Linked DNA regions of Neodiprion lecontei. The protein of the gene in region 2 purifies or fractionates together with the protein of the main gene of each other region. This does not show direct contact. Links are inferred from orthologs where the notes say so. Each region holds a gene or a part of one and is shown on either strand. Other genes may lie near its edges. The genes, in order: tether containing UBX domain for GLUT4, UBX domain-containing protein 6 and nuclear protein localization protein 4 homolog.

What was found.
Region 1: the proteins of UBX domain-containing protein 6 (region 2) and tether containing UBX domain for GLUT4 purify together in Homo sapiens (affinity purification with mass spectrometry; 4 studies listed by BioGRID and IntAct, counting the BioPlex papers as one, with this or other methods). This does not show direct contact. The link is inferred for Neodiprion lecontei from reciprocal best matches to the Homo sapiens genes UBXN6 and ASPSCR1.
Region 3: the proteins of UBX domain-containing protein 6 (region 2) and nuclear protein localization protein 4 homolog purify together in Homo sapiens (affinity purification with western blotting; 3 studies listed by BioGRID and IntAct, with this or other methods). This does not show direct contact. The link is inferred for Neodiprion lecontei from reciprocal best matches to the Homo sapiens genes UBXN6 and NPLOC4.

Annotation. Positions count from the first base shown.
Region 1 is NC_060263.1:15,145,449-15,155,875, forward strand, and holds tether containing UBX domain for GLUT4, read right to left. Parts: upstream 6,379-10,427; 5' UTR 6,051-6,378; coding exon 5,964-6,050; intron 5,888-5,963; coding exon 5,832-5,887; intron 5,729-5,831; coding exon 5,479-5,728; intron 5,401-5,478; coding exon 4,981-5,400; intron 4,894-4,980; coding exon 4,536-4,893; intron 4,450-4,535; coding exon 4,284-4,449; intron 4,209-4,283; coding exon 4,010-4,208; 3' UTR 3,012-4,009; downstream 1-3,011. Other genes in the region: akirin-2, read right to left, coding at 359-369, 474-636, 732-925, 1,816-1,984; hippocampus abundant transcript 1 protein, read left to right, coding at 8,920-9,048, 9,236-9,637, 10,148-10,369. UniProt on the Homo sapiens protein: Tethering protein that sequesters GLUT4-containing vesicles in the cytoplasm in the absence of insulin. Modulates the amount of GLUT4 that is available at the cell surface. Enhances VCP methylation catalyzed by VCPKMT.
Region 2 is NC_060260.1:40,954,108-40,966,461, forward strand, and holds UBX domain-containing protein 6, read right to left. Parts: upstream 10,401-12,354; 5' UTR 10,262-10,400; intron 9,887-10,261; exon of another isoform or gene 8,559-9,886; intron 8,497-8,558; exon of another isoform or gene 8,306-8,496; intron 7,831-8,305; 5' UTR 7,699-7,830; coding exon 7,622-7,698; intron 7,444-7,621; coding exon 7,291-7,443; intron 7,182-7,290; coding exon 6,773-7,181; intron 6,686-6,772; coding exon 6,390-6,685; intron 6,311-6,389; coding exon 5,920-6,310; 3' UTR 5,298-5,919; downstream 1-5,297. Other genes in the region: membralin, read right to left, coding at 752-905, 1,117-1,351, 1,495-1,730, 2,626-3,012. UniProt on the Homo sapiens protein: May negatively regulate the ATPase activity of VCP, an ATP-driven segregase that associates with different cofactors to control a wide variety of cellular processes.
Region 3 is NC_060264.1:8,318,227-8,328,049, reverse strand, and holds the start of nuclear protein localization protein 4 homolog, read right to left. Parts: upstream 5,723-9,823; 5' UTR 5,656-5,722; coding exon 5,635-5,655; intron 5,292-5,634; coding exon 5,211-5,291; intron 4,745-5,210; coding exon 4,534-4,744; intron 4,073-4,533; coding exon 3,925-4,072; intron 3,731-3,924; coding exon 3,593-3,730; intron 3,437-3,592; coding exon 3,133-3,436; intron 3,010-3,132; coding exon 2,872-3,009; intron 2,753-2,871; coding exon 2,605-2,752; intron 2,426-2,604; coding exon 2,265-2,425; intron 2,111-2,264; exon of another isoform or gene 1-2,110. UniProt on the Homo sapiens protein: The ternary complex containing UFD1, VCP and NPLOC4 binds ubiquitinated proteins and is necessary for the export of misfolded proteins from the ER to the cytoplasm, where they are degraded by the proteasome.

The DNA.
Region 1 (10,427 bases), on a different chromosome or scaffold from region 2:
TTATTTATTGATATTTTTGTTAAATTATTTAATTATGTTTTTTGTTGCATCTGTTTATTTTATACTTCGAATGAAATTACTTTTCAAATTTAATCAACCCATGTCTCCACAGCGAGGTAACATCACCGCGCATTTCTTCCCTCATAACTCCAAGCAAAATTATTTTCTCACTTATATCATAGAAATCTGTAATGAGAAAACCACTAGAGTATCTTTTGACAATAACAATTGAATCATTCGCCGCATTACCTAGACGATTATCATGTAAAGTCACGATTCAACTTTACAGAATATACATGCTAGGATACTTACCTAACGTTCTTTGAAGAAACACATCCGTGGAAGTGGCAAATCTCCTTTAGGACAAATCTACAAATTTATCAAACATTAGAAAAAACACAATGCATGTGAGTCACCAGTCTTGAAATCAGGAGTTTACAAGTTTACAAGTTTCCAAGTATTCAATAACTCACAACTCGGTGCAGCCGCAGATTCAAATCTCTTCTGAATCTGATCATAGGTGAACTTAACGAATGCGTCATACTGCTCGGAGAGCTTCATGTTGAGAATCTGGTCATATTCTTCTCGGATCTGCGTCTCCTGTTCCTTCAGCATCCGCTCGCAGATCAATCCCACCTAAACACAAGTTGGTTAACCATTATTTGTAGCAAATAAACGATCTCACAATTATGTCGATATCCATTCATTCTTTATTTTGAAAATACACCCACCTGTCTAAATGTGAACAGTGGTTTTTCTTTGCCGCTTGGGCTATGACTGTAAGCACTAGGCCCACTAGTCGATGGACTGGCTGGACCTTCAGTATCTGAAGAATCTCCACCATTGTTGTTTTGCGGGTTGAAATGCAGCTGCTTGCGCCGGTGAAGCCTGCGGATCTCTTCTCTAATATTGGCAGCCATTTTTTCTATGAAAACATTTTACGGCATTGGTGTAAACAATTCAGATACCTGACCTCAGTTTCTTAGACTGAATAACCAAGCCTGACGGATCGCAATCACAATTGCAACCAGGCATTGTTTTGATTGATGATGTTCAAATAACGGATTGTGAAATTACTTGAAAATAATAAATAAGAAAACCGAAACAATATTAGGTCTTTGCAACATCATTTCCAAGTTATTGGTAATGGCTGAAAGAGGTTAGTAAGAAGGCTTAGTTCTCATGTAAATGTACAAGTTGAGTAACAAACTCCATGCATTCATTCAAAATTTTCACAGTTATGCAAATAGTAAAGTTGCAATAGTCTGCCTTTACGGTGGTCGAATTTTGATGGGTATTTTCAATAGATTCGTGGTAACGCATCAGACTGAGCATGGAAATGCTAATATTATGTCTGATGAATACGTAAATGAAGATTACAAACATACGATTCGGCTTGGTCCTTTTTCTCCCGTTTCGAACTTCGACATTATTGAATGAAATAATGCCTGGGTACGCAAAACTCACACAATGGGGAATTTTTTTTTAGTGACATAGAAGCGCGTTTGAACACCGAGGTGATGAGGGGAATTGTCGAATGAGAAAAAACTTTGTGAAGAAAAACGGTCATTCTAACGTATATTTCAAATTGCGCGATGAGTGGAGGAAAACCAGTTTGAAAGCTGTTTGTAAAAATAGTGAAAATCAGCAGCGACCGTTACGTCGGTATCTCCATATGATTTGCGCTCCCCTCACCCCACTTCACGCCTCCGGCCATAGTATATACGGGTTTTAAATCGCTATACATCTACGTTTGCAGCTAGCTTCCCCCTTTAACACCCCGTGATAAAAAAAAAAATGGCCGAATATAATTACCAGGCGTCAATTTTTGTGTAACTTCGCCGAAAGCTGATGGGTTCTGATTCCTCGCCGGCGGTGTGTTTGGCGACATGCACATCGGTACGCATCTTCGCCTCTTCGAAGGCCTTACGTGGCTGTGAACGGGGTCGAACTCGAGTGATCGCTTCAGGGTGGCGCAGGCCATTTTTACTCTTCACAGTCTCGTACGCGACTGACACCAAAAAATCGCCGAGGAACCGCAAAAGGCGTTTTATTTCCCGAAAATATATCGGTACTACAAATTGCACAGTATTCCCTTTTCGTTTAGCGGTCTCGTCGAAGACTTTCGACAAGTTTCCAGGCTGATTCAACTGGATTTTAAGACTGGCCACCGCAGCACCAAAACAAACACTGCAGTAAAACAATATGGCCTCCTCCGTCGTCACTTCGTCAGCCGCAGCGACTTGAACATTTTCCATAACGTTTACCTAGCCTAGTCTGCCATTGGTCATCTCTCCGCGTTTTCTCATTGGTCGAGCCGTTGCATCGTGCGTCACGACGCAGCTGCATCGATAAGGAAGGGCAGGGGTGGCCGATCGAAACGGTTCATTCGATATTCAGCCTACGGCAGCGCCGGCAATAGTCACGTGGTATGCAGATGCAGCTGTCAGCTGTCGCACGTGACTGACGCAAATTGCACGCACGCGTTAAAGATGCACGGAATGGCAAAAAATCATATCTCGACCAACTGACTGCAGAGAATGATGCTTGCAAATGCAAAGAATAGATTTCGAAACTGGGCAGAGTTAAAAATGAAAATAGAACGCTGAAAAAATGCGCGATAAATTGACATCCGCTCAAGGATAATTTGAATTTTCATCGATTTGCAAAACAAACTTCTTCGAATCTTTTAGGATTTGCAGGATCGATTTTGAAACGATAATCTGAATTTTTCGAATGTGCTGCACAATTTACTTGTGTGAAAACACTGTTTGAAGAACTAAAAAACTTGCCTCGACCGTAACAGGACTCGAACCTGCAATCTTCGGATCCGAAGTCCGACGCCTTATCCATTAGGCCATACGGTCTGTTGATAGTCTAGGCCGTAGAATTGTACGTATCTTCATGATAAAAATTTCTTTAACAACCTTGTGCAAATTCAGCCCTACAGGAACAAAATCAATATAAGTTTCCGTACGACATATTTAAAATATAAAATGATTTGCATGTGATAAATTTGAAGATCATTTATTGTTTTACAAAGGCCTGTGAGGAACTGTATTGTTACAAAAAATCATTTCAATCTTTAATTTAAGGTCCTGTGACAGCCTACCCTTACCGACCAAGCAAACTCATCCCTTTTTTTCCAATATTAAATCAACAAATGAACGGAAAGGCTTGAAGTTTCGACGATGCATCGCTCTTTCATGGCGGAATTCAAAAATGTTACTCATATCTTGAAAAGCATTAAATAGATGAGTGGTTTTTTGAAACACGTTACTATTTAAACAGTTCCCGCATTTCAAGGGCCAATAAGTGCACAGTTGAGATACCTTCCGCAATTCTAGAAAGGATGAGGACTAAAATAAGCCATCGTGAGACTGTTTTCATGTAATATTGAAGTCGCTATACGAAAACTAGGGATACAAATAATTTCGTAAATAAAAAATGCTCTAGCGATCAGCTGGGCGCGAAGTTCCTTGGTTGGTATGGTCGCCCCAGCACAGCATGAGAGCGTCTTTTATCTACAAAATTACCGTAAATCCTAGTTTTCGTTGAGCGGCCTTAATATTGCATGAAAGCAGTCTTGCGATGTCTCATTTTATTTCTCATTCTTGCCGGAATTGCGGAAAGTATCTCAACCATGCACTTTTTGGCCCCTGAGATGCGAGAAATGTTGAAATAGTAAAATGTTTAAAAAAATCACGTTTTTGATGATTTTTGGAATACGAGTAACATTCCTGAATTCCGCTACGAAAGAATGATGCACCGTCGAGACTTGAACCCCTTCTGTTTATTTAATATACGAAGAAAAGGTATGAGTTTGCTCGGACGGTAAAAGCAGGACTACTACAGGGTCTTAACATGAAAAATCGGGATAACAGCTTTTCCTCTTGCTGTATTTTAATAATAGATAACAATAGTAAACACGTAACTGACAACTCATTATTCAGTCATACTGCTTCAATGAGGTATTCCATACCAGGATATCTCAGAAAAGGTTCAATGATTATTTAAACGGCTGCTTAAACCATTTCGGTACATTAGCTTTGGTTGCAGGTGCAAGGTTTCTATGACTCGGTCCAGGTGTGGGTTCTGATTGCTTTGGTGTTTCTACTACCCTTTCCAGTCTCTTTTCTTGTGCCATACTGATGTCAGGCATATCCTCATTCTCAAAACTGTCCACACCTCTCCGCGCCATTGCCATTCTAACGATTAAATTATCATCATTATTATTTATTCAAGTATTTGTGGCGAAACAACTAGCCATTCTTTCTGCTCACCTAGATTTTACTGCTTGAATACCAGCAGCTCTGGGATCGGTAAGTTTGTTGTTTAGTTCAGATTTCAAACTAGACTGGCCAGAGTAGTGAAGTATAGCTGAGGGCACTAGATTGGCGTCGACCAACCGTGCACCGGGATCCAGTACAGTGCGTGGAGGTGTTGTATCTGTTTCGTTAAAACTATGTAATACGATTTGCAGTTGCATAAGAAGTGCATCAAAAAGAGAAATATAGGTATGCAGAAATACTTACAAAGCATGAACTCGGCGTCAGGATTGGCCAGGTAAATTTTTACAAATTCTTTAACTGCCTGAACTGTTTCAAGCGGGCCGAACAAGCCCTGAAGTACCAATTGATCTGGGAACTGAATTCTAATCACGGTTTTACGATATTTATGTAAATGATGCAAAATCCTTTTGTCCTCATCCAATTGTCTCTGAGCTGAAGTTAGAAGTGGAGCCTCATCCAGCTCTGCTCTAAGGCGGATAGCATCTTTCAGTAAGTGCCGAGCATCCTCGACAGTAAGGTCAAAAAAGTTGTCGGGTAATTCATTACGTGGCAAGGCTTCTGCTCCAGCCTGATTAAACACTAGGGCATTTCTCTCTCCCAGCTAAAAATTATCAATAATTAATTTCTTGCGCTGCGAATATAATGAAATGAAAAATAAGCGGAGAGAAAAGAAAAATTAGAATCTTACGAATTCAACTTTTGTGTCTTCTATACTACTCTCAGATGTATCCATCGGTATTCCTGTGTTTTCAGTTTCAGTTACATCCGTTTTTTCTTCAACCTTCAGATCGCAATCAAGTTTTGGGATCTTTTCTGAAACTGAAGCTTGTGTATGATGCTGTGCAGTCTTTCCTGTTTTCAGGGCTGATATGGGATCTATATTTTTCTGTGCGCCTCTCCGCAATGCCGCTGTCTGTCGATTAGTTTCAGCCATACGAAGTGCCAAGTCAATGCTTTCTTGAGATGGCCTTGCAGCCAAAGGAGCCGACACATGAGCCTGAGTTCTGGGTTGCTCAGGATCGCGATGAATTAATCTAAGCATAGCTCTGCCGCAGTTCAGTCCCAGCGATCTGAGCGTCGTTTGTTCCAGTAGGTCCAACCCGCAGACCTGAGATTTTTAATTATTAATCGAGCGTTGATCAATGACAGGCTACACAGGCTTGAAAAACTAGCGTAACAATGTAACCTCGCGATGCATGTAGATAAGAGCTGCAGTTGGTAGCATTTGCTCCGGACACAGCTGATTCAGAACTTGAGCCAAGGAATTACTGGGCTGAAATTCACCTGTCACTCGCTCTCCGCTTTCAGTTTGAATGCCGACCGTCACATTTGAGTCAAGTCTCTTTTTGGTGCAAGGTACCATCTCCAGTTGAGCGTTGTTCGGTAAACCGGTAAATCGGAAGATGGCATTGGCGTCGAGAACGCGATTGTAATGCCTGAGGGTTGACGAAGACTGAGATATAATTTGGCGGCAAAATATTCAGGGATCGGCGCATAAGCAGGCATGGAAAGGAGCATAGTTATCCTGGTGAGACTCACTTGATGTCATATTCCTCGGTCTCGTAGCCATGTTTTTGACACACTTGTTCCAGTATCTACAGAATAATTGATCGGATCAGTTGTATATCAGTGATCACGTTGATTTAACAAATTTTAAGAAATGAATCATACCTGCAATATTGTCGTGTTTGGCGTTACTTTCACGGTTTGTCGGCGACCATTCGGCGCGAGCACAATGACACTTTTGCTTGCCGCCATTCTTGTTTTTCTTCGAAAACAGCTGACGGTCTTGCTTAATCATTCCTCAGCATTTGCGCGCGGTCTTGCATGACGTCATAACGCTCGCTAGTTTTCTTTACATAGCGCCACTATCGGTAACGACGAAGCCGATTTGGGTTATTTGAACGGTGAAACTTGCGCCGTACAAACGTTTAGAAACATAATAGGGATGACAACGTGAAAATTGGCTAATTAACCGAAGCTAGTTCTCATTGGAGATTTGATTGAGTTTTCACTTTTTACGATTTCCCATCTCTTGAGACTGAATAATCTATGGACGAAGATGTGAGTTGCGCCAGCGGATTGAGGATAATCCCGCTAGGTGTATCTGTATGACGGGTATTTAATCAAATGTGCGGCGCCGTAGGTGCATGGTCTGAAGTTAGAAGTTCAGTTGAACTGATATCGCCATGAGAGTGCATTGAATAATAGGTCGGGCCTATGTACTCGACGATAAATGATTGAAAAAATGTGGTGAATAAACGTTGAATTTTTAATGAAATTGAAAAAGCGAAAGAGCTGGTGCGTGCAGTGCGTTAGTATGCCCGCTAAGGTGTCGAAGAAGGTCGTCGGGATGATAATCAGGAGTCGAAAATCCATCATGAAGGATGGTGTGATCACGGTACGTATTTCAATTGGTTTTTTCCTTTAATGTTGAGAGGTATCGGCAAGCTGGGTGACAGACGGAAAGAAAAAACCAAGAGATTCATCATCCTCGGAAAATCATTCGTCACAGCGACGTCTCGACGCTGAAGCATCGTTCTCGTACTTGCTCGTCAAGTTGCGACGCGCGTCCAACGATAGATCCGTGTACAAATATTCCCTTATCTTGTACGGCGACAAGCTTTTCCAAGTCTAATTAGTCCCAGTCTTTATCTCGCGTCCCTATTTTCCTGCCAACCAACAACCAGCAACCTGTCCGCATTACTCACCTCAACTCGCTGTTTTACCTGTTGCAATGCGGTTATTCGCGTCAAGGATAGCGACGATATTACATACGTGTTATCATCATAACCTTGCCGATGACTTGTGGCCGAGGGGTTTTAATTCTCATCCAACACCCAGCCGCGGTTTCCCCACTCTTTCTGGAATCACCATCGCGTTGACGTCCTGCACACACGGGCGACCCTGGAATCGTCCCGAGGCATTGGTCGATCAGCCGAGATGATCTTCGTATTTACATTACCGCAAACAGGCTATGCCCATAACCCGTTTGCGGTATCTGTATGAGGATGAAGTTGGTATTGTTACTGTAACTATACATGCTTGTGAAAATCGCTACTTCGCCTCTTCAGAAATGTCCGAAATGTAATAAACCATTATAAACATAATATTTTTATTTTGTAGTCATCTCCTTGAAAGTCATTCTTGAATTACCCAATAACGATGACATTTTAGCCTGAGGTTTCCTTAGGTTAACGTTACTAACTTCAGCCTGATATATCTGTGCCCCCAAGTAGCGGCTGAGGAGAAGAAATCATGCGCGTACGAAAAATCCCGATGATGGGGCCGCAGCAGGGTAGTTGGGCACCAGCTTCGCGGCGGGAGGGGGGTTGGGAATGCTACCGCAGTAGTGGTGCTCTTGCGTAAAAAAATTCTTCGATACTTCGCCCTCTTCTCGAACGAAGGAAGGAAAGAAGGAAAATCGCCGTTATTAAGACGCAATGTCCAACTCACGCGGCGAATGTTTACCGGGCGAGATTTATTGACAACTCGTTGACTGACGTTGGCCCACAGCTGACAGACGTCAGTTTAAAATGCGCTCGTCAGAATTTGTTCCGTTCGCCGAAAAAGTTACGCCACGGCCTCATGATTCGAGGATTCCGTAACCCCGTGTATTCGCGTTTCACCGCATATCATCGGCATTGTCGTCGCATTTTCGAGCGTGTTTCTCACGGTCCTCGACAAAAATTTACCGAGTTTTACCGCGACATCGCGCCTCCCCAGTTGACGCTCACCAATTTTCGGAGACACAGTCGATGGACCAGCGCGTTTCAATCAAACGAAAATTTACAGGCCTTCAGCCGATGCTGCGTGTGTATTTTTAGCAATATCTGACTCTCACCAACTGTGTGCTGAAACGTGTGTGATGACTTACGTTGATTGATAGATTCCCTCCTCGTTACGTTGGTATAAAAATATTTTTCCCCTTATATATTTACTCGGTGCATCGCTTTTCCACATCCACAAGTAATTTTGCATAGGAATAGAAAAAACGCGACTTTATTTTCCAGCCAAGGAAGAAGTACATCTGTCGTAATACAATTATTCTAACTTTTGGAAAGAATTTTATTTGCGTCACTGATGTAATGTAGAATATAATACCCAGCGGCCAAACAAACCTCAATAGACTACTTTCAACAGTCTTTGACATTCGATTAGTTTTTGCACGCAATTCTTACAGTGAAAAAGAAAAAGTTTACAACTCGTAACTCTAATAAATCTATCAAGTTGTTTGAATTTAATTTTCAATAGATCCTAAGAGGAACACTGGTGCGAATAAGTTTAGTTAGCTTAGTAAATACAGGGCACACTTATAAATCCGTCCGTCAAATACGGTGATATATATAATCAAATATCTTTCAACAAAACGAACATTATGATCAAGTTTATATATCAATGAAAATGCGAATAAAATTAATTCAGAGCATACAGAAAAACTGGATACCTCCAACAGTAACGTCTTTCCTGGCCAATAAACGGCACGCAACGAGGTATTTACTGCTCTGAAAAACTTGCACGGTTTAGGTGTCTTTTTTGAGACATTATAGAACACTGGTTCGATTTAAAAAAAAATCACGTCGATGAGCAGATGCGTCTATTGAGAACTTAGGGGCGAGCAGGGGCGATGCCCCCTGGTGCAGACGGGGGCTCGGAGGGCCCTTCGTGCTCCGAAGCTCACGATGGCCAGGAGCCAGCGCTGACTAAGCCTCCACCCTTATTATCGCCCGTTCAGCGTTGCTACAGACATCTCAAGGTCAGCTGGTAGTATAAATTTGTATAGCTTAACGAGCAGCGCCGCCCACTGAGAAGGCAGTTGTGCAAATATTTGATTCGACTGTTCAGTTTTTCGTCACAGCTGTGTAAGAATTTGACATCGCTAGCATCCTGCCGATAAATATCTTCTAATTTTCTAACTTTTCTTTACATTTCCATTGTTTCAGAGTTCGGGAATCGGCGAAGCCAGCGTTTATCATGCCCTTGTCGTCATATTCCTGGAGTTCTTTGCCTGGGGACTGCTGACAATGCCCATTATTGCCGTTCTCAACAAGACATTTCCCGATCATACCTTTCTGATGAACGGTCTGATAATGGGCATCAAAGGGATTCTCTCGTTCCTCTCAGCTCCACTGATTGGCGCGCTCTCCGACGTTTGGGGAAGGAAATTCTTCCTGCTTATCACTGTAGCTTTTACCTGTGCGCCTATACCACTCATGAGCATAAATACATGGTGGTTTTTCGCCATGATTTCAATCAGCGGAGTATTTGCCTGCACATTCTCGGTTGTCTTTGCTTACGTCGCTGACGTCACCGAGGAGAGCGAACGTTCTCTGGCTTACGGTTTGGTAAGTATTTTCGCGCATATCTGCACATCGAAAATTAACAAATCTGGCGATAAAATTCCACGTGTAACTTGCTGAGTCTTTTTTCCAACAGTCATTATTGGCTAATCTTAGATTGGAATTTGCTTAGTCAGCAGCATTAATATCCCTATAAGTCCACTTGTGTCTCAACACGTTTTCTGTATTCTAGGCTGGTGACACATTGGCCATATAAGGATTAGATTGCGTTCATTTTGATTAGATAAAGAAAGGCATGAATGTCCAATATCTAACACTGATCAAAATATAGCTTGAACCATATGTTTTTCTGTAATCTACTGCAACTTCAGACAACATCACTCGTCATGTTACTTCCAATCTTCTCGTAATCTGATCCATGTCGTGTGCTGTTGGCACAAATAAAAAAGTTTGATGCTTAAAACCAAAAAGGGGCAGAATATTTTGATTTTGTTTGATTCACGTATACTGCTCAGCATTCAATATTTCGTACTGATTAATTTTTCTGTTTTTCAGGTGTCTGCCACGTTCGCAGCTAGTATGGTAATTAGTCCTGCGCTCGGTTCGTACCTGATGGAAGTTTACGAACAAAATTTCCCCGTTGCTTTGGCAACAGCCATTGCTATCCTAGATGTTTTCTTTATATTGGTTGCTGTGCCGGAAAGCTTGCCTGAAAAAGCTCGTCCTCCAGCCCCTATTTCTTGGGAACAAGCAGATCCCTTCGCAGCCTTGGGAAAGGTTGGCAAATTCAATATTTTTATTCGCATTTAGCCGCACTCTGCCTTCAGAATTATCA
Region 2 (12,354 bases):
ATTCACACATGTCCAGTAGAATTTCCCCTTGAACAGCAAATATATCGTTTCTAGCTTCCGCGACAATTACCGCATACTTATTTTCACCTCCGGTAAGAGTTGTAACCGAAGTGATAGAAACAACTTATAGATATAATAGACTACCTTACCAACCTGCCTGGGGGTAGGTGGTAAGAATCTGTGCGAATTTCGTTCCGTTGTATAAAATTCATACCTTATCCGATTTATAATATAAGCGTACTCTGCTCCACGTCCCCCCCTGCCTGACACCGTATGTAGTTCCATTCTAGTTATTTTATATTGCATTTATAAAAATCTGAAACTAATGACTTTCGGTTTCGTAGGAAGAATATGCCAGGTGCACAACTAGCATGTCGGTATTATCGGTTCTTTCTTTTGCTGAGGTTTCCTGGCCGCAATGCTCGATAGCGCCGATGCAATGTATTATAACAAAAAAATTTATAAGATGCAGGTTTGTAACGTTATCCTAACGAGTCAGTTTTTGACATACTCCCTACTTCGAGAATTCAGGGTCAAATTATGTAAAATATAAATTCGCGATGCAATTAAGCATAAGCATCCTCTTTTCATAAGTGCTACCTGTACAAATTAATTATGAAATTGGGAAACATCTCTGCCAGTATTGCGTTACGTTAACGTTACAAAATCCAACCTTGATAGATATACATATACATATCGTAACATGCAATGTGCCGAAGTTAACGCAATAATAAAAAATATCTTAAGTTACCTGCTCTGACTATCTTCTCCACTTCAGAAACCTGTCCTTTCAATGGCTGAATGATGTGATCACCATTCGTTTCATCGTTCGATTGATCTTCGGTAACATTTTCGTAAGAGTTCGTAGGCGGTATTGTCGTTTCGTCCACCACTTCGGAGCCTGTCTGAAAATTTAATTCCCTACTTCAACCAAGGGGACTTGAAAAATACATCTTTCCCAGGCTGCTCAATACAACAGAACCTTAAAATACGAACTTGATGTTTCTAAAGCTATCAAGCGTGTGACACGGTTAGTTAGGGAATGCCAGGAAACTTGAAAACATAATCAAATAAAATTGCTCTCCTATTCTACGTTTTCAATTCTGATCGCATTACCTCGAGCGGTTCCGCATTACTTGGACCATCCCACAGCTTCGTTGATAATGGCGGACTTATCGTCGCGTTCGTTGTACTTAAATTCGGGCTTTGCACATCGCCAGTAACAGACAGACTTCCAATTTCAACGTTGGCGTCTGTTTGCGTGAAATTCTTAGCAACGTTTTCGCTTTCCGCCTCAGCATTTCCCTGTGCGTCTTCCTCGACAGTCGAAGGTTCGATGTTCAAAAATGATCTGTTCAAATATTAGAGGAATCAGAATAAAAACCTTCGTGCGATTATTATTCATTTTGCATTTTTTTTTCGCTACTTCTCTTTGAATATATGCTGTGCAATTAAATAGTGAGATATATTCGAAATATATCGGAGAAGACCTACCCATCTCTAGCTAAAATTCCTAATACGCTAGCGAGGTCATCGACTTTTTCCTGCCTCAACTTCTCCTCCTTGGCGTAACTCTTTTCTATGGTATAATCTTCAGCGCCATTTCTGAGGATCTCAACTCTCAGAATACCATCTCGAGGCCAGTCGTCTCTTATGTGTTCCAAACAGTTGGTTGGTGCTCGGGAAAACACTATGTGGATGTATGCCAGCACGAAAAATGACGTTATTGCCTGAAACGATACAAATTAACAATTTTAAACTGCAATTCATTCGGAGGCAAGCACGGGGGATAGCGCCGGGATGTAACAAGTATCTAACAACGGAGGACTCCGTTTGATAACAGCAAGTATTCGGGGAAGCATTCGACTGAATTCGAAATATCTTCGCGATATCTTTTTGAAGATCGCGGGAAGTAATACAAACTTTAAATAAGGTTTCGTAAATTTGCAGTTACCACTTTACAACGTTTTATAATTACAACTCCGCTACTGCTTGAACAACTGCATTCGCATTCTTCCCCGCTAACCCGATATGAAGTAATTTAAAAAAAACTGCGCACGTCTAGAATTCCGTCACACGACATTATCCAAAGCAGAAATCCGGCGAGTACTGGTTCTAATTTCCGTTATGTTCGCCGCTATTTGCCCAATTTCTCCGAGATCTCGCGACCCTTTGCTGAACTAACGCGTGCTTTGAATTACTCGTAAATACTTTCTCTGTTCTAAGAAATTCTACTTGAACGATGCCCTTATAGACATCTTTGAATAAACCCTTGACCGCCATCACTGCTGCGTATAGATCAATCCAATAAGTATAACCGCGCTCTGCACCTGCTCTTGGTAGATATGTGTAAATCGACGGAGTGGAAGAATGCAAACATTAAAATGTGCGTTCAAACTCTTGGCTGTGGGTTTTTTCATTTTAGTACACGCAAATTCGGACATCTTCTACGGAATATTCTCTAAAAATAATAATAATAATAACAATGTCTCAGAAACTGGCATGGAGATATTTCCACATTACAAGACGGAAGGCAAGTTTCGGAAGTTGAAGAAAAATTTCGAAACATGTAAATTATATAAAGAAATAGAATGGTTAATGTCGTACTAATATAATGAGAGTTACCTTGAGCAATACGATAAATTCAATAAATCGTCGAATAGGTCTGGGGAAGGCTCTGGCGTAGGCAAGGGCGGCCTTGATGAAGAGGGCATGAAATAGCCTGTCCCGAACATTGAATAGTGGATTTTGATTATTGTTGTTCCTCGCCCTGTTCATATTGTTATTATTCAAGGGCCCAATGGCCGCTGCAAGTCCGTGATTATTATCCGCCCCGACTATGCCGTTGACGGTATTAACTGGTGGAACAGGTGGCAGGGGCGGTGGTGTCGGTGCCGTCGAAGCTATCGACGAGGGTGATGATGACGATGATGATGTCGAAGGAGTAACAGTTACCCGGCTCTCAGGGTTGTCCGGTACTTCCGGTGGCGGTGCTGCGTCGATTTCTGACATTTTGCAATATTAAACGATTCGGTAATTATTACCCTCTTATCTTATCGTTTCTTTTATCTCTATTATTATCGATATTCTTATTATTCTTTCGTTGCGTAAAATAATTGTCAGTGTGTCGTCGTCGTCGTCGTCTCGGACCCCGTCTTTTGTCGCGTTTTTTAAATTATTTTCAAAGCCGACAACCAATCATCGTATAGGACCGGGTTGACTTGTTTCCCGCACGCTTTTTCGTCCGGTATAACATTTCCGACGATCCGGGGTAGGGAGCGTAGCTCCGGACACCGCCGGCGAGATGCTCCTGAAACAATGTTTGGGAAAGAAATGTTTCCCTAAAGTAAATCATATATTCACCTTATCGTTTAACAATTATGGCCATTGTTAATCGTCGGTAGGTACATCACAACTCCTCGGATTGCCAATGGATTAATATTCAATTCTTCAATGTGGTATTTTAATGAAACAAATATTTAAAAAATGTAATAAAAAAACCATTCGTCACATCGCGGCGATCACGTGGCAATGACAGCGCAGTATTAAATACGGATACAAAACGCACGCACACGCGTACACATAACTGCAGTGCTAACACTTTCCCGAGAGAACGTGTTATCGTATTTCGATATAATTTTCAAAGTATTTGTAAAAGAAAACAGGCAATAAAAGAACTGACTGATCGTGATGGGAAACCGAAGAGAAAAAAAATAAGCGCGGAGAAAGAGCGAGAAGGTGTATAGAGTCGAGGATGAAGCATCTAGACGACACCGCGGCAATGCATTCCAGTATCGAACGAACGGTATGTAATATGAAATATTTAGAAACGCGGAAGAGCAACAGACTGGTGCAGCTGGTGCTGCTGGTGTCCTACGAAAACCATAGGACAGCCCCGCCGCCGCTGATACACTGAATAGCTAAGTGAAGACCAACGTACGTTTCTTAGTTACGTAATTATCGCAACGGAATAATCGTCATCCATCGACCACGGGTGACTCTGCTATTTTCAATACCGCTAATCATGCAGCTATCGAACTGTCAACCACGGATCCGTGCGGCCTGGACTACGGAGCGAACCAGTCACACGGACGGACCTGCCTGCAGCATGCGGCGAGTCTTCCCAGCTTTTCGTACAACGAAGACAATTCGAGTCGTTTGCCAAGACGGAGGAAGTGCGCGAACAAGTTCTCGGTTGTGAGACAAGAACGGGGGAAAATTACAAATACAAATATTTACGTGCAATAATGGTGTGTTCCGATAAGCGTGCGACGAGAAGTGATGCCTATGAATCTACCTGTCCACCTACCTATCTACCTACCTCCACACACGTCACATACACGAGAAAACTGAGTCAAGTCAGGCTACGTACCTCCGCGCACCTTTCAGCCCTATGCCAGCCAGGTATTTTCGCTCGACGAGGTCCGCCGCACCCTCGACGAACTCGCTGTTTCGACCCTTCGATGTCGTCGGTTTTTATTACCCGCTATGCCGACGTTTGTACAAATTTTTGTTACAAATTTCTAGGTTCGTCAAAATCCTCGCCTTATCGTCATATGTTTTGACACACGACGCAGACGGTTCTCAGCAGCCTTGCCAACCGCCTTTCATCGCACGATAAAAAGTCCCCGTGGTTTTGGTGCTTCTTTTTAGAATTTTACTTTCTCTCTGACAAGTCGTCGACGCGACGTACTTCTATCGAAGCGGACTTTGCCGTTGGCTAATCGTGATTACGGTTGTCGATTCATGGGTTCTTCTCATCCACCAATTGAAATTTATCACTAATACCGGTGGCTGACCAGCCTGCTGTGGTCTGCGACGAAACAGTTTCGTTAATTCCCACCGAGGACGCTACCTATTCCTTGAGTCTGAGGTGGTTGCCTGTGACAAGGCGGACTTACGCGCTGATTATGATTTCAAGGTGCCTCGATATAGTATCGAACATGTGGAATAGAATTTGACATTGGCCCACTTCGTATTCATGCAGACCCATCAGTGGAAAAAGTTGAATAAAATTCTTTTCTACGCCGTTCTTACGAGTTGATATCGTGGGCAGTCTAATGATGGGTTGAAGAAAAGCGGTGTATAAATCTAGACCATTTGTAACAAGAGTATTCCTTGATGTTTCATATTTTTGATCCCAGCTTACATTAAACTGTAGTCTAATTGAATTACCACTCTTTTGAATGACGCTCAAGAAATTTTAGCCTGTCTAAATTCTCTGGTTCTACACGATTGACCGAACTGGGTAGGAGACAAAGTGTACAAGAAAAAATGATGAGCACATAGTACAGAAATGAAAATAAAACGTGATATTTATTCCAATCGTCTTTTTTTTTTTTCCTTTTTTAACAAGTATGGATTCAATTACAAAGAGAATATTTTGCTATCAATAGTGTACAATACCTGTATGTCCATAGTGTTGCATTTACCCCTGGCAATCATTCAGCAAAACATCCCGTTATTCGCATTATTAGGGGGGACATTTCTATTAAAAGGTATAATAAGACGTAAGCATGTCATAATTCGACGTCAGACAGCAGAGAATATTGTCTCCGTCTTTAATTGATCTATTCAGTTTCAAGTTTCTTTTTTCCCTTGCGTATTGATTTCAGTTTCATCGTCTTGTAGAATATCAAAAACAGAACCAAACCGTGTGTGAGACGGCGGAACGCGACGATGTCTACAATCAATCAGCACCGTGAGCACAATGGTCACCCATTAACTCATTCAAAATCGAAAATTTTGTTAATTTGTTGCATCGTTTTCTACCAATGTGTTAGAATTTGATTTTTCTATAGCTTGAACAATAACAAAGACTCCAAACTTCGCTTCGTGTGAAACTAGAGTGTCCGTGCTTACCATTGTCGAGTGGAAGGTGATGACGATAAAATCATAGCTCGACTAGGGTGAGGAGGCTTACGTGGACTGTATCAGGCAGATAATTTCTTCTTTGAGATATTCGGTGGGTCCCTTGGTATCTAAAATCTCCGTATCCCAGCTGAAATTCAGTATTGATGCGGGGACCAGTCTGTTGTCAACCAAGGTCTTTTCATAGTCTTCATTCCCGAGACGATGACCCGTCGGCGTTGTTAAAACGAACGGTATCTCGTCACTGATCAAATTCTCTCTGACAAATTCTACGACGTTCTCGACCCTTTCGTAAACCGCGAAGGTGCCTTGAAGCATTACCCCGTCCGGGAAACGCACCCGTATCAAGGCGTAACGGTATTTCTTCATTTCTCGCAATTCCTCTTTTTCCCGCATCGCCTTCGTACGGAGAATTTGACTCTTTGCTACCGCTTCAGACCTGTGCTATGAAATAAATTTTTGCCAATACGTGTCAACTGCTATATTTTCAAGCCAAAATAAGAAAAATAGTGGCGCACCTGAGCTGATGCTCCTTCTTAATCTCCTCCGGCGATATGGTGAAGAAAATTGGAGGTAATTCGTTTCTTTTCGCTGCCTGACTGGGCAGTAAGACTTGTAAGTTTCTGTCCAACTCAATTCGAACGGGCTCTGCCGTCCTCAGAGCATCAACCAGTATACCGACTTGCTCGATCGAAGATTTTTCCGGATTCCAAACCAGGAAGTCCTCTTCCTGTTCCTGATGCGCTAGTTTGACCATCTCAAACCCAGCGGCTTTAAACAGCTGCAAGGCACCCTCGACGGGCTTCACTTTGTCCTACACATTGAACAGGTATCGCTTAAATTCACGAAGAAATCATTCGATTCGGGTATCTTACATTGTTATTCCAACCCTTCTACACACCTGAAATACCCGATTGGACATTCGTATTTTCCAGTATTTCTCCTCCCCCGGATTATTGATGATATTTTCAAGGTACTTGCACATGGTTTCGACACACTGTTCAACCTTTTCTTTCCCGGCATTACAACTATGAATGATGAGGCAGGCGGTGAGTCCGGGCTCCTCGTAATTGAGCTGCTCGTAAAGGAACTGTCGAATCTTGCTCTTCCACTCGTCCCTGGTTAATATTTCGTCAGAAATAATCGGACAGCGAAAATAAACCCCGCGTACAGCGAGCAGCGGGTTTGCCTCGACCTCCTGTGGGATTTTCTGCTCCTTTGGCAGCGCGATTTCCTTTGCCTCATTACTCGCCGCTTTTCTCTCCGCCTCCAGTTCTCGTTTGACTTGTGCCTGGATAGCCGCGTACGATCTGCGAATAAGCAACAAGTGAGCAAAATTTTGGTAAACTGTTCATCCATCGTGATTAATGATCATGTAGGTATACTAGGAACGAAATCGAAATCCCTGGCCGAACTTACGTGTTGAACTTTGTCGGGTCTGGCCTCTTCGACTCGAGCCTCGCCAGGGCAGCTTGTCCTGCAATTTTAGCTTCTGTGGTTGGTTCCGCCCGCGTCACTGGCTTCACTGTTTCGTTAGAGTTCGATTTTGATGAACTCGTCGATTCGGTTAATCTGCAAACACGGAAAAGAAGAATATAATCTTAGTTTTCTTTGTAGTTGTGCAGTTCAAAAACTTCAAAACGCTTAAATGCCTGTCGAATAGAAAAAAAAAAAAAAAATTTCGGAGTGACTGACAGCTCTCTGACTAATTTTTGCAACAGTGAATACGTATCACACGTTTAATACTAACTTGTACCCCTTTCCAGCCATCTTAAATTTGGCATCGGATTTCTTTTTCTGGAAAAATGCTTTGATCTTGTCCGCCATGTTAGTTGTTTTCGGTTGGCACTCGATAAAGAGTTAGCTGGTGAATGATTTTCTAAACCCGCGGGGAATGCTCCTTGGGTAACTTCAATCGGGAGACGCTCTTCTTCAGTTCCTCAACGGCAGCAGAAGTCGCTGAAAGTTACAAATTTTCATTAACACACTCCAACTACCAATAAGGTGAAAAGTAATCTATGAGTACACATACCATATAGTCAGCTGTGTATTAATACATGCGATAAGAAAAAGCAGTGTACGAATTTAAAATGGGTCAAATATACACCTGGCTCTGCGAGGATGGCGTCAAGAGTTTTCGGAATCTCTAGACACATGGCTACACAGTCTTAACTGCATCATTTCTGTGGGTGTATAATTACATACTATACTTGTCGTTAGTCGAGAACTTTATGCCACCCGTGAAACAGAAGCAGATAATATGATCTACAGGAAAATACACCAAATTTGGAAATGTTTTGCATACTTGGATCTGGTACTATGTCTAATTTGAATTGCTACAATTTTTATGACTCTTTACAAAAGTTGTCTTCACGAATACTGAACGTATTTAAATTATATGAAATATTTCTTCATAAAAACTTTTCTGTTTCAGTAGAGACCGTGATGATACAATGAGTTTGGGGACATTGTAAGCTACCGCTGGCCGTTACGTTTAACCTACTGTTTTCAAATATGTCCAAGCATGACAGATATACGCCTATATTACCGTTGACCGCTGCTTTAGAATCCATAAGTCCTACTACGCGCATGTACATACATTGTATAGGCCCTCTACTGATTCAATTACTGCCGCAATTGATTACTCTTTAAATACCTAAAATATCCTTTCCTCTATTTTTACTCACGTTGAATTTCCAGTCGTTTACAAGATGTGTCGCATTCATTAAAACAGATGGATGATCATTTTCATTATTATGAACATTGTTATCTTTACAAAATTATCATTTCAAGTGGGGAACGAAAGTTAGACGAGAAAAGAAATCGATTTTTTCACACAGATATGTTAAGAATTTCAAGGTCGTTATAATATATACAGTGCAATGTACACCCAAGAGTACGACTATAACGGAAAGTTTTCCGCGAAGCTCAACCCCGTACGTCGTCCAAACAATCGATGAATTCTGCAGTCATTAATTAGGATGAATGCTTCAAGATTACTGCTTTCCATTTTATCGTGCACCATTATCAGTGCATCGTCTGTATAATTGTGACGCACAGAAGACAAGGAAGCTCAAGATAAGAATGTGCAAAAGTACGAAACAAACATTCTATTCAAACCGTTTTTCATGTGAAAATATTCAGATCAAGACTTATACAGGACAGTAATTAGTGTATTATATTCCTATAACTAGTTTACAACATAAATAATACTATATTCTCACAACTTCAAATAATGGAGAAAATGCATGCACAGAACTTTCCCTGCCACATGTATATTACCTACACCAGTGCAGTGAATGACTGTTAACTCGTCATACGTGTCCTGCACTATCGCTATCAATTTTGTGGTATTCTATGAAACCAAATTTAGTATGAAAAATAACATTTGTCGAGTGAGTAGGTTTTCAGAGATAATATGTTTGTGAGGTAGACAATGTTAGGTACAATCGTTTCGCTTCCTCGTCTTGAAGTAAAACCTGAATAAGTAGTTGTAATCCACACGTATGATCAAATAACGCTATGCACGTTGTATTGTTATACATTATAGCAACAACAAATACGTACATATGTAGAGGTGAAGGTCACATCTTGCATACAGTGCAAGCGTCTGGTAGCATTGCGTAAATGCAGTGCATAAATGTAATTCGTAAGATGATCCCGAAATGAAACGACCGAAACGATTCTGGTCTTGTTAGGAGGGTATACTTATCTTACCTTCCGTGACAATTACAATTTGCATTTGATTGACGTGCTTTATAACTAAAGTATTCGAAAACGATTTTATTCCAGATATTTTTTTCACTCTGCCAAGTTCTTCGGTGAAAAGAAAATTGATTTAGTGTGCCTACTCGAAAGGATAAAATTGAACGGCAATATGAACACGCTGAAGTTCGCAAATTTCAGCATAAATACGTTGCAGCGTGACCGAGCTTGTTTTTAAATTAAAAAATGGAATGCCCTCTATATACAACACAAATCCAGACTAATGACACTGGATGATTGATCACGGCGCACATTAATTAAAATGTGAAACTAAGTGTAAAAGCATCGGCGACCGTTACCTGCGAGGTTACTTAAGACACAACAGATATACCTGAACGCAGGTGCAGGGAACCAGTCTGACCAGACTACTGCAATTCGTAATGCGTGGATCAACGAGGTTGAAGTTAGCAACGTTATCGTGACGAAACGTTGGGGAAAAAATGCCTATTTTCGTAACTTTACAACACTGATTATAAAAAAACTGAGATTTCGAAAAATGAATGTTTTGTTTTATTACCGTTTAATGAATTTCCGAAACTTCCAAAATCGTGAAATAACGGTTTTCCCTCGGCATGAATCGTCACGATAACGTTGCTAACTTCAATATGATATAGATGATAGTTACGTTTAGTTGATCCCTGGTGTGACGCAATGCCACGAGTCTGCCAGTACGCAAGTATGCATATACGCGTGAGAAGAGAAAAGGTGAAAAGAAAACGTGACCAAATCTGTCAAATCTGTTTTTCCTGGCTGACCTGGTTTCATGAACCGATCGGATATCCGATCGCCGTAAACGTGCCAAGCAACGTATATGAGGGCGACGTTGCTGACGAGGATTAAGGCGAAGAGTTTGAAGAGCTGGAGCTGAAACTCGTCGAAGGCGAGCCAGGCGGAAAACTCTTGGAAAAATTCAAGTAGCGTCTGGTGTTGTTGGCCGTATGCGTCGTTTTCGTTACTCGCCGATGTGCCCGTCGAGTTTGAGGTTAGCAAGCCGAGTGTCGCGAGTACGAAGCTGGCCAAGTCGCAGGCGATTGTATTGATTTCGTCCAAGAGTGAACCGCTCCCAGGAGCCGAGTCCTCGCATAAGCTGATCATCACACGCGTCACCTGATCATCCCCTTTCGTTCTCCTTTTTCTATTTTCAATTTTACTCTCCTTTTACTCCTCCTCAAACCCTCCGAGTTTCCTTGACACACCGACGATTTTTATAATCCCGACCGTACGGAACGGGAATTCGGCCGCACGTGACTTTCAATTCGTTCACGCCTATCCACGGTGGACTCTTTACCATGACTGAACACTTACCGACAACACGAGCGGCGTCCTATCCCCCCTCCCCCAGAAAACTCTCCGACACCACTGACATCTAACAGCTCTCGATCTAACGATGCTGTCTTCGTTCAGCGAAGTTCCCGGTTCCGTTACGACCAGTCGGTAACCGACGGATCGTCATCCGACAGTTTTTTATTTACCTCGAACAGGATGAATACCTCGGATTGGATTTGACAATTGGAAGTCAGGTTGACCACGGCAGTGCCGATGATGACAGCAAAACGTTACGAAATCATTTGCCCCCAGATAGCGGGTTCGAGTTATTGGTTACCCGTTTGAAGTTTAATTCAAATAAATCGGACGATATTGGAACGACTTTTCTCCCCATTTTTACTGATACTATACTAAAACTGATGTAAAAGAAGAAATATTACAAATGGCTGAATAACTATTGGAGTACCTTGATATATTTCGAATTCCGAAGACCTCGGATTAAAAGGAAATTGAACAGAATCGCGACTAATCGATTAGACTAATCTATATTGCGGTTTTTTTAAATGAATATTTGGGTTGATACAATGATTTCGAATTGATCTGAAAAAAAATTGAAAATTACAGTTATTCGGAACTTTTAGCGTCAGAAAGGGAGAAAGAAATGAAGGTTTAAACCCATGGTTGAGCCTCGCGTTGTAATATAAGATGACACATCTCACCAAATTTTAATTAGAACACACGGCGCAGCGTAAGAGGAGTAATGGGATAGGAGAATAACTTGTATAGAAATTTTCTTACGAAATAATGCATTTTATACAGTTTGCATTACGATATAAGTATATCGATTATAGGTATTAACGTATAAACTTGAATTAAGATTAATAAATATCATGAACTACGGTACAAACGGTGATGTATTAACATTGGATTAAAATCACACGTGATAATACTACGAATATGATTACGATTAATAATACGTTTTGTTTCCTATAATACTCCTCGAAACGAGCCGATCACACTCTTCGTAATTAGCTGCCAATTGCATTTAGTGCGTGATTCAGCGTTCATTCGGCCATCGCGTAACGCCTACTAATCTTGCAAGAAGATTTCTGAGGTGACAAACGGAATTTCTTTAGAAATCACACGTGAAGCCTACAGCGTTTCACGACGAGAATGTTTAGTACGTTTGTAAGTATTTACGGCAAGACCGCGTTTTCAATCGTTTTTAACGTGAAAACTTGCGGTAGCACAATAGGCGATAAGCCGATGGCTCGTGGCCAATTTGGTCGAATATCCCACAAGAAAGTACACGAAGGATAAGGCAAAGCGAAATGAAAAACGATCGCCTTTGTCCGAATATTTCGTAACCATGGAAATTCACCCGAATGCCCCAAGTTGACATCAAGAGTGCTGAAGGAGTAATAATGAGTGAACCTCGGAATCTTTCTTATT
Region 3 (9,823 bases), on a different chromosome or scaffold from region 2:
TTTAGATGAGGGCTAATTTTTGGCCGAGATCCGACAAGTTCGTTATTAGAACGTACATGAACGTACAGTTTGTGTGGAATTAATCCCAAACGGTTAGAAAAGGGACCTACGTATCTTGATTAAGTGACTGTTGTATATCGCAGTGAGAATGAACATGATACACATGCATTGTGTATACATGATATACTCTTTTCAGATAGGTTTCATTTTCATCATTAGTTTTTAAGCCTCAAAGGTAGTATATCCCGCCTCTCGTTCCGTGTTACAAATAGTGAAGCGTCATTGTAATCGAAATTGTGTTGAAAAAATTAGATCTCAATATACAATGTACAAGAAGGCCTAACTATAATATAGTATATAGAAAAATATTAAACGTCTCTCGTAATATCTGGTCGAAAACGAATGAATATAAGCGAATATATTAATCAAATCATTCCTTGATACTGTATATCGAAATGCTACGAATATGTAATATGTTACTATAGTCGTGTAAAACCCGTCGTTATGTATTATAATACTATTATTATTATTATAAATATTATAGTATCTGCTCGTCCTCGTTGTCGTCGCAAAATGCCTTTTTTGGAAACCTCAATTGATGTTGAACTTGAAAGTTTTAACTCTTGTTAATTAGCTAATAACGACTATAACCACGTGTACCGCATTACGATAAATTATAAATACCGTTATGAATATCGATTAAAAGGTGGCCACTCCGAATTCCTTCCTCTTTTCAATTTTGTGTTAGAAAAAAAATATATCACCTAGGCTCGACGTACCTAACGACTAACATTGACTTGAGCGAAGTCAGTGGCCAACCTGTACATAGATAACGAATGAAAAATATATATATATATATATACACACACACCCACAAACATACTTTTCTGAATGTGACAAAGCAGTAGCATATAGCTTATACTACAGATATCGGATACCGTCGATTTATCCTTGCCTTTGTCTTTGATGAAAACGATTATACTTTGTAAATTATCGTATATTTTCCCCCATATACATATATGTATCTATAAAAGTTAATTAAATTGTTTGTTTTTTTACATTTCCTCTGCCAACTATACATTTTATAGGAAATAGTACGTTTACCACTTCGTCTAATTGTGGTAACATGAATCAAAGAACCAAATTAGTAAAAATAATAATAGTTGTATATGTACAAGGTAAACAATTGTTACCTAAGACATGCTGTAGATTTAATCGACCATTTTCCAGTTATAAACTGTTGCCATTCTTAACAATGCAAGTACTTCACTTGGTCCAACTTTTAGTTTTATATTTTCAAATTTAGGTTTATTACTGTATTAGTTAAAAAAACCGAATAGCTCGTTGCGGCAAAAGTATATTTGTAATCTACTATGGAAGATAATGAATATGAAAAGAGATAATTAAGAGCTTGTTATGGGAGAAGTAAAACTTGCCACATAGGGATTATAAAAGCAGATCATAATTATAGAGGAAATTGAAATGTGAATGTTTGATCTTCAGGTAAGAGGGTGTAAACAGTATATCATTTATTCCAAGAAATTCCCTCTTTCCAGAATTTCGAAATTGATAACAAATTTTCAATTTCTCTACTATTCCAAATCATACGACTGTCTGAATGTGTTGGATGTTACAAGACGGTGTGTGGTGAATTAAATTTGCAACGAATGATTAGAGATTTATGGCTCGCAGTAGTTGAGAAATTCAAAATAGTAGTTGAAATTGAATATATAGCCACTGTTATCAGCAGCAGAAATATGAATAAATATATGTATACAAAAGAATATACGTATAAATGCGATGGTAAAAAAAAAAAGTTAAATGTAAAACGAATTCGAATAGCACCGTTGGAAATAATTAAGTTACGTGGTAAGAAAATTCTTAATATCACAAAGACATGTTATTAAAATCGTTGAAGATCGTATAACCGAAGGATTGTGAGCATTTCAATGATGCTGTAATTGGCGATTTACTTTTTAACGAGAATAAACGGTGATTATAAAAATTAATGTTAGACGACCTCATCATTGTAAAACATGTGAACCATCCAATGTATATGTGCGCGAAAAAAAATGTTTGAAAATAAAATAAGTACGTGACGGAAACTTAATACCGCAATTAATTTCTCACTCCATATATATTATTTTATTGTTTAAACGAATATTGGAAAACAGCTGAAATTGAATTTACCCACCCAAGAAACCTTACAACATTTCATAAAATTCAATAAGGGCAATTCAAAAGAAGAGGAAGTTGTCACTTACCTTATAGTAAACATCAGGAACATATTGCTTATCTGTGGACTCAATAACGTAGCCAAGCTCCTGCGCATCCTTGGTTGGGACTAGACACCCATCACGTACCAATGCCATGCACTGATTAGAGACTTCGTATCCTTCCATGTGCACTTGATTCTTATCGTCACCTGGAGATCAAAGGAAAAGGTAAAGAATATTCTGAGAACAGTTTTTGATTGCAATGTAAAACGAAAGGCTCTGATTTACTAGGAGGTGCACTGCAGTAAATTTATACCATATTGTACCGAATAATACAGCAAGCGTGATAAACACTCTGATTAATATATTGTTAATAATTATACATTACCTGTGACACAGACTGTGACGAACTTTGAGCCAAAATAACCACTCGGTGAAAAACGGCATGGATTCGGATGCTGGTTTTGAAAGTATCCTGCCATAATACACTCTTGTGCTGATAAAAAGTGACTGTCTATATTTCTGACGTGTTTCACCTGGAAAAATACACATTCATATGCAATTAATTATTTTTGAATAACGCATTATCCACAGATCTTGTCGCGGCGTTTGTTTCAAAATGAAAATTAAAGCTTGGACGTCAGCCAATACGTACCGTGCCTTTTTTGACATCTTCAGCAATTAAATCTGTGAATATCCACCCCACTCTTTGCAAACCAAGAAGTCGAGCAAGTTCGTCGACTAATTCTTGTCTTGGATCTGGTAGGAGAGATACAGTATCTCTCGTGCTGTCCTGAGAGGAATTATAAGCCATTTGTAGATAAAATAAATATAAGTTTTGTGATTTGAAGAGCTTTAATATGTTACTAAAGTCGAAGATCATTCGAATTGTTCTTACGAATATTGAACAACTTACTTGTGGAGGTTCGTATATTGCAGCAACTACAGCCCTAATGCCTAGGGGTACGTCTGAGTGTATTTCATATCTACCATAGAGGTAACCAACACGTTGATGTCCGGTACTACGCCAGTAGTTCAAAAAGCGCTCCACTAGACTAGCATTCTCAAACATGACGTTATCAACGTGACGATACTGTTGCCGATTCAACGTGATAGCGTTGGGCTGACATTTACTGCAAATCCCACGAGGCCATGGTGGGTGATCTTTGCAGCCTGTCTTTATGCGACAACTTATGTCCTCCAGTTGAAGAAATTTCCCTCTGTGAAAGATGATAAGTTTTAAATTAAATTATAATGCCGTTTCATTTCTAAAAATTCACTTACTTCTATCAGTTGTAACATTATAATTATGACTTCCAAATATTTTTAGTGTCACAGCTTGACTTCAACATCGAACTCTCTACGTAATGACATACCTATCAACCCCAGCTGTGAGCTTTCTGAGGTACGAGTGGAATGATAAATGCTTGATGTTTTGTTCCTTGAGGTATGCTTCATCAAATGGTTCTAATGGTGAGCAGTGCACGCAGCACCCGTTTGCACCATGGCGGCATCTGTAAATATTAGGATCATGAATAGCAATAGATATTAATCGAGTACTCGTCTTAACTTAGAAAATTTCTGAATTTCTTTTCACTTAAAGTCGATCTAATCTCTCAAAATTGACCTTTGAGCGCTCAGGGGTACATTTGTAGAAAAGGAATCAAACGGATAGGCGATGTGAATGATAATCATACATTAGACTCACAATTTCTCGTCACGCTTCTGCTGTATCTTGCCATCAAGCTTCCACAGTTGTTGATCTACTTCATCTTCCGTGACACTGGCAAGAGGTCGAGATGAATTGATGGCCATAGATCCCTGCGATAATCTGCTCGTACTCGGCATTGGTTCTGCTAAGATCAGTTAACCTTATTAGGATTGAATGTTATGAGGCCGCAGTTGGTAACATTAACATAACAAAATGTTGAAACAAAATTAACTATTTCACAGTTTCGGTATAACTAGAGGAGTTGAATTCACAAGATCTGAGTTTGTAAATGCTATATTACGGTTTACTGCTGATGCATCATTACTATAGCGTTACGAACTTCAATCTGATTTAGTACTTGAAAAATTCATTCTTAACTTACTGCTCAAAATGCTTTTACATTGTGCGACGATCGATATTAACTATAAGTCCTACAAATAAGAGCAAGTATAACAAATCTATTCTTCACCCATTGTATTGATTGTTTAAAAATTCTTAAACTATGTTGTACAGCGACGAGCTTCCAGTTTACATCAAGCGAAGTTATACCAAAGTACTGCTGGCAATTATTATAATTTATACTTATAACATCTTAGTGAAGATTACCGGCAGGAATATTTATGGAGGCACTACTAGTCGATGGTCCATCCTGTGGCCGTAATACTGTGCCATTGAGGGGCACAAGGTAGACCATATCGCCGTGAGACAATCCTGTTCCAAGGACTGTTTTGCTTCGAGAAGATACGAGTTCATCCTTGTGATTTTTTAGTTTATATAATCCAAAACTAAAGCTGTCCAAGTTAAACGTATCATGTACCTAAAACATGAGAATTGAATTGATGGTGACACCGTAAAGACAACATCATTAATCCAAGTACTTCTAAGCAAACTCTGATTCGCTGTATAATGTTTTCAATAACTAAATCGTGACCAGTTCTTTCCAAATCTGTTGTTATCATTGAATCACGCATTGCTTCGTCACTAGAATAGACAGTATTTAAAAAATATTTCAAGAACAATGACTAGAGAAAAATGTGTTATCTTTACCGACAATAGATGGCTCTCAGCTCAAGCATGATAAACTGTACGCACAAACTTGAGCCAGTGGTTTCACTTATTTTAAGTCACAAAGGCTAGCATTTACAGCGACAACTTGCAATGAATTTGCGAGTAAAGAAAAATTATGAGAATTGCAATCTGCTCTTACAAATAACAAGCAGAAGTACAAAATACCTTATTATTAGTAATTTCTTTTGCAAAATAAATTGCCAAATAAGTCAAACCTTTTCAAAGAGATCACGGACTGTATCAGTCGGTCTCACTTCTATCCGTTTGGTGCCTTCGGGTGATTGAACTCTGAGAGTCTGAAAATTGAATGACAAAATAAGGGGTTGCATGAAAGTAATTAGCATCGCAGTGAAATAAATTAACAGTATTTTTTCCCTTTAGGTTAAAAAAGAGAAGAAAATACTTTCGTTACTGTTCTTGAATATTTCAACAATGTATTATACATATATTATATGCATAGACATGTACGTATTATATTTTTCCCCATCGTAGGTAATGACAAAGGCGCAAAACGCGGCGTGGGTCGGGGGGAATGAAAAGGTTACGGCTAATAAATATCTACGGTTATCGGTATAGTGGGCGACTTAATTTGTCGGTTGTTTGAGTCATAGGTGACGGTGCGGATTCAAATAGACTTACAATTAGCGTTGATTTTGACATTTCGCCGGTATTCCAGAAGCATCAGCTGTTCGAGAGAGAGTTTCGAGCCCGCTGCCACAAGGCTTGCCTGTGTTAACAAAGCCCGATCAAAATCCCTAGTCAGCTGTGGAAAAACTGCCGAGTCAACCTTACGTGCCCATAACCTCTCTACGCTAAAGTATTACTACACGGTAAGTTTTGTACTTATAATTATCACTCGCGATCGCACATAACCAGTTACGTTACCCCCTTTATTTTATCGCCGTTCATCAGAGTCCACGATAATCGGTTAATATTCCTCTGCCTAACCGCGCGCAACAACTTTTTAAACGATAAATTGAGAGATATTTCACCCGAGTCGACGACTCGACTCTATTCTCGTCGTCAAGGAGCCACTGACACTCGCGTACCAGCCGCGTGCAGGCTCAATAAAAAGAGGAGGGCCCCGCTTCTTCTAGATGATCCGAATTTTCGTCGGTAACTCTCGCCGTTTCACCCCATTTCTCATAGAAAATCATCGCCAGCTAATATATTTTTCAGTCTGCGAATCTGCATTCGCGTATTTTAGTCGATAGAGAGAAGGGAAAAAAAAGGAATGGAATAGGATACGTCGATATACGTATAGTATGCGGTACAGTCTGGTCGAAAAACATTTGAAAACAAAAAACTGTGAAATATAATAAATTATCATGTTGAAGTTAGCAACATTGTCGTAACGGTTCATGTTAGCGAAAAACTGTTGTTTCGTGACCATGGTATAGTATAAAATTAGTAAACCTTAACAAAACAAGATATAACTCTTATGATAAATATTAGTTTTTCAAGTTCGTGTTAAAATTGCGAAGTAGTGAAGTTTTTCACGATGTTCCGTTACGATAACGTTACCAACTTCAACCTCGTAATAAATTAGATTCCAAATCTGCGAACTTAAACTGCGAAGTTAAACGATAAATTTGAAATTGATTGAAAAGATTATATATCCTCTCGACATCACGCAGTAATGATAAAAACCCTATATCTATATTATTATTATCGCAACATTCTATACCAAATCTATATAATCTTTTGTCCAATTTTCATTATTATCATTAATTAATCAAAAAATATTCTGACAAAACTGCATTGATAAGCAGAAAACGATAAATTTATGCTTCGTTGAAGAATATAATGAATTCTATGAGACATTTATATCAAGCATTCCCCAAAAAAATTTGCACGAAAGTGCAGCTGATAATCAGACGTTTCGACTCAAATTCGCGGGATTTCGTAAAAAAGAAATTTTTTCTTCTACGTCAGAGGAATATTCGTCTTTCGTCGAATTCAACTACATCAGTTTCAGTCGCACCTTCTAAACGGATGTTTAATTTCGTTTTCTCTCCTCGGACAGTTTTCCGATTAGACTGTACACCCGGTCCGATACATTCTTAAACAGGTTGCACTACACGTTGACTTAAGAATCTGTATACATAGTACGGCTATATTTATGTTACATCTACTCTGTGTATACATAGACGGAAGCATAGACAACACATTGACACACACATGTATGCACATTTGTGTGTAATGTTGTATGATCATTGCGTGCGTAATTATAATTGCATGTACGCATATTGTGTTATAAAAATAAACACATATAATAAGAATAACAATCGATCAGTTTGGCAGTTAATTAATAGTTCATCTGGGTGTCAGGATGTGTCCGGCATTAACGAGTTACCTCTTTATTCTCTATACATCATTTCACATTTGGATTATAATCGTTGTTATTATTATTTTTGTTTTCACGTTGTGCTAGTGTTGTATAAAGCACGGTGTTTTTAAGCTTAATACTGGCAAGTATAATAATATGATTAGTCAATGTTTTGAAATGAAGTAACTGCGTAAAACAAATTGTCCTGTATTTCTATGCATCTCGCATTATCTGCGGTGCGTGATCATTAAGCTAAACACTTAGTAACCGCGAGATTTCGACTTTCGTACTTTTCCGTTATACCAAACACCCCTCCTGCAAGTTACTAAATGTGACTTTACGTGTTTTTACCTCTCATGTCTTCTCGTTAAATATCCGATCCTTCGCAAGAAATTGGTTTAAAAAATGAAGTCCTAAACCACAATGGAAATGAATGACGAAACCATTTCACGCGATCTTTTTTTTATCTCTGTTTCTATCGCTATGGCCGAAAAGAACTTCAAAGATTTCGTTACTGATCCAAAATATAAATTTCACCACTCGCCTACATCACACTATGACGTAGTTCATGAATGATTGTGTCATTACTCCTGCACGCAAACAACCTGTCAGCCAATTTTGCAAGCCGTATTGCGCTCGCTCAGGCGTTTATATACGTATACAATACCTCGTGACTTCTAGCTATATAACGCCATAAAATTCTTGTTACGATTCAACAGACATGTATCCGCCACGTGTCTAACTATCATTAATATACCGATGCGAAATAAGTGATCTACGTCAATATCGAAACTCAAAATTTGTAATTCGGTAAACAACATGAAACATGTTTGCATACTTGAATTTAATTGAATAAAATTGAACTTTCGTCGTTTCCTTTATCCACATATAATTGAAATTACGCGATTGCGACAGAGAACATTTCCCGATATCCCATCCGCAGACGTAGCTGCGTATTATATTCCCCGCACATATAATATATATATGTGTGCAAGATTATACTTGTGACGCGTTTACTTTTCTTAAGAGAAAGACGCAAGGTTTTCTACGCGCAAGGTCACCCCAGTTTTTCCAATTCAAAATTCGAATCTACGCGTCGTTATAATAGCGAATTAGTGCGAAGTGGGAAGATCAAAGCCTGGTTTGCGATTGTAGTGGAATTATATCCCGATGATCGCTACCGTCATCGAGTGGCGCGTAGGTAACCCTTGTCTACAAGGAACAACGAAGAGGCGTATGTAGAGAGTGGAAAATACTAGGGATCTATTATTAGGGAGAGAAATGTAGGTAGGGAATCGGAGCGACGCTCTGTGCCCCAAGAATACCGTGGGTTGGCAGGTGGAAGTGTCGAGTGTGTAACCGCACCGTCCTTTACTTCGCAGCTTGGCTCTCCACCTTGTTATTTCTCTGGAAAGATGGTATTTGTCGGGTGGTACCGGTGGAGTGTGGTTGCCTTTCAAGCTCGCCCCGCGTCTTCGCGGCAACAGGTCTGCCGCCTGCGAACTGCACCGACTGGCTTCATCCGTTGCCAGGAGGGTCAGCGCACGCTCAGTCCCAAGACTATTCCTTAATTTTCACTGTACACCACCTGCACTCGGGGGTAGATACCATAAGAAACCGGACTTCATCGCGCGCCATCACTGACACTATCATCGAGTGACAATCATTCTCAGGTCATCGTCATCGTCATCATCTTCGTCTCATAATTCGTTAGAACTCGAATATTCACCGAACAAGGTATGTCACTCGATTGATTAATGACGGTGTCATTCTTTGTCAGTATAAAGATTGTTATCAAACATTGTACAGATTCTCTTACTTGTTTAAGATCGTGACTGAGGGGGTTTTTACCATTTCGGAAACTGCGTCCAGTTATTCTATACATATTCCTCTTTGTTTTATAATATAGATCATTGATCATACACCGGCTATACTTGACAGATCCATCTTCCCCAAATCCCGATTTACTCTTGTAACGGGATACTTTATCGATCGATTAGAGCACGCAGTTTCAAATTTTGTAACTACCTCGCAATTTGTTGTATTTCGGTGTTTTTGAATGACAAATAATAGACTATGGATTGAATGTGGATTAAAGATACCGTAGTATTCGATTTTAATGGAATTATAGTTCGTTCAAGTTTTACTCACAGACCTTGATAAATTAACTGCAAATCATTGCATGAAAAAAATATTGTGAATTCCGGCAGGCTTGTGTAGTGGGTGAAATGATGAAATGAGTGGAAACAAATATTTTTCACCTACCGCGACGCGATCTTTCCCCTATAAGTTATTTATTTGCTGCACGAATTCCTGAAAACAATATTTTGGAACCGTACGACCACAAAGGCCTGGCAAAATTCCACGTTTGATTTGATTCCAGAATTTCATGCAACCTACGTAAACGTCATGTCTGAATCGTTATTTGAATTTTCGCTCGTTATGAGCGTACAAATAATTTGTGGCAACAAATTTTGCGAAATTTTTTGAAATGCGAAA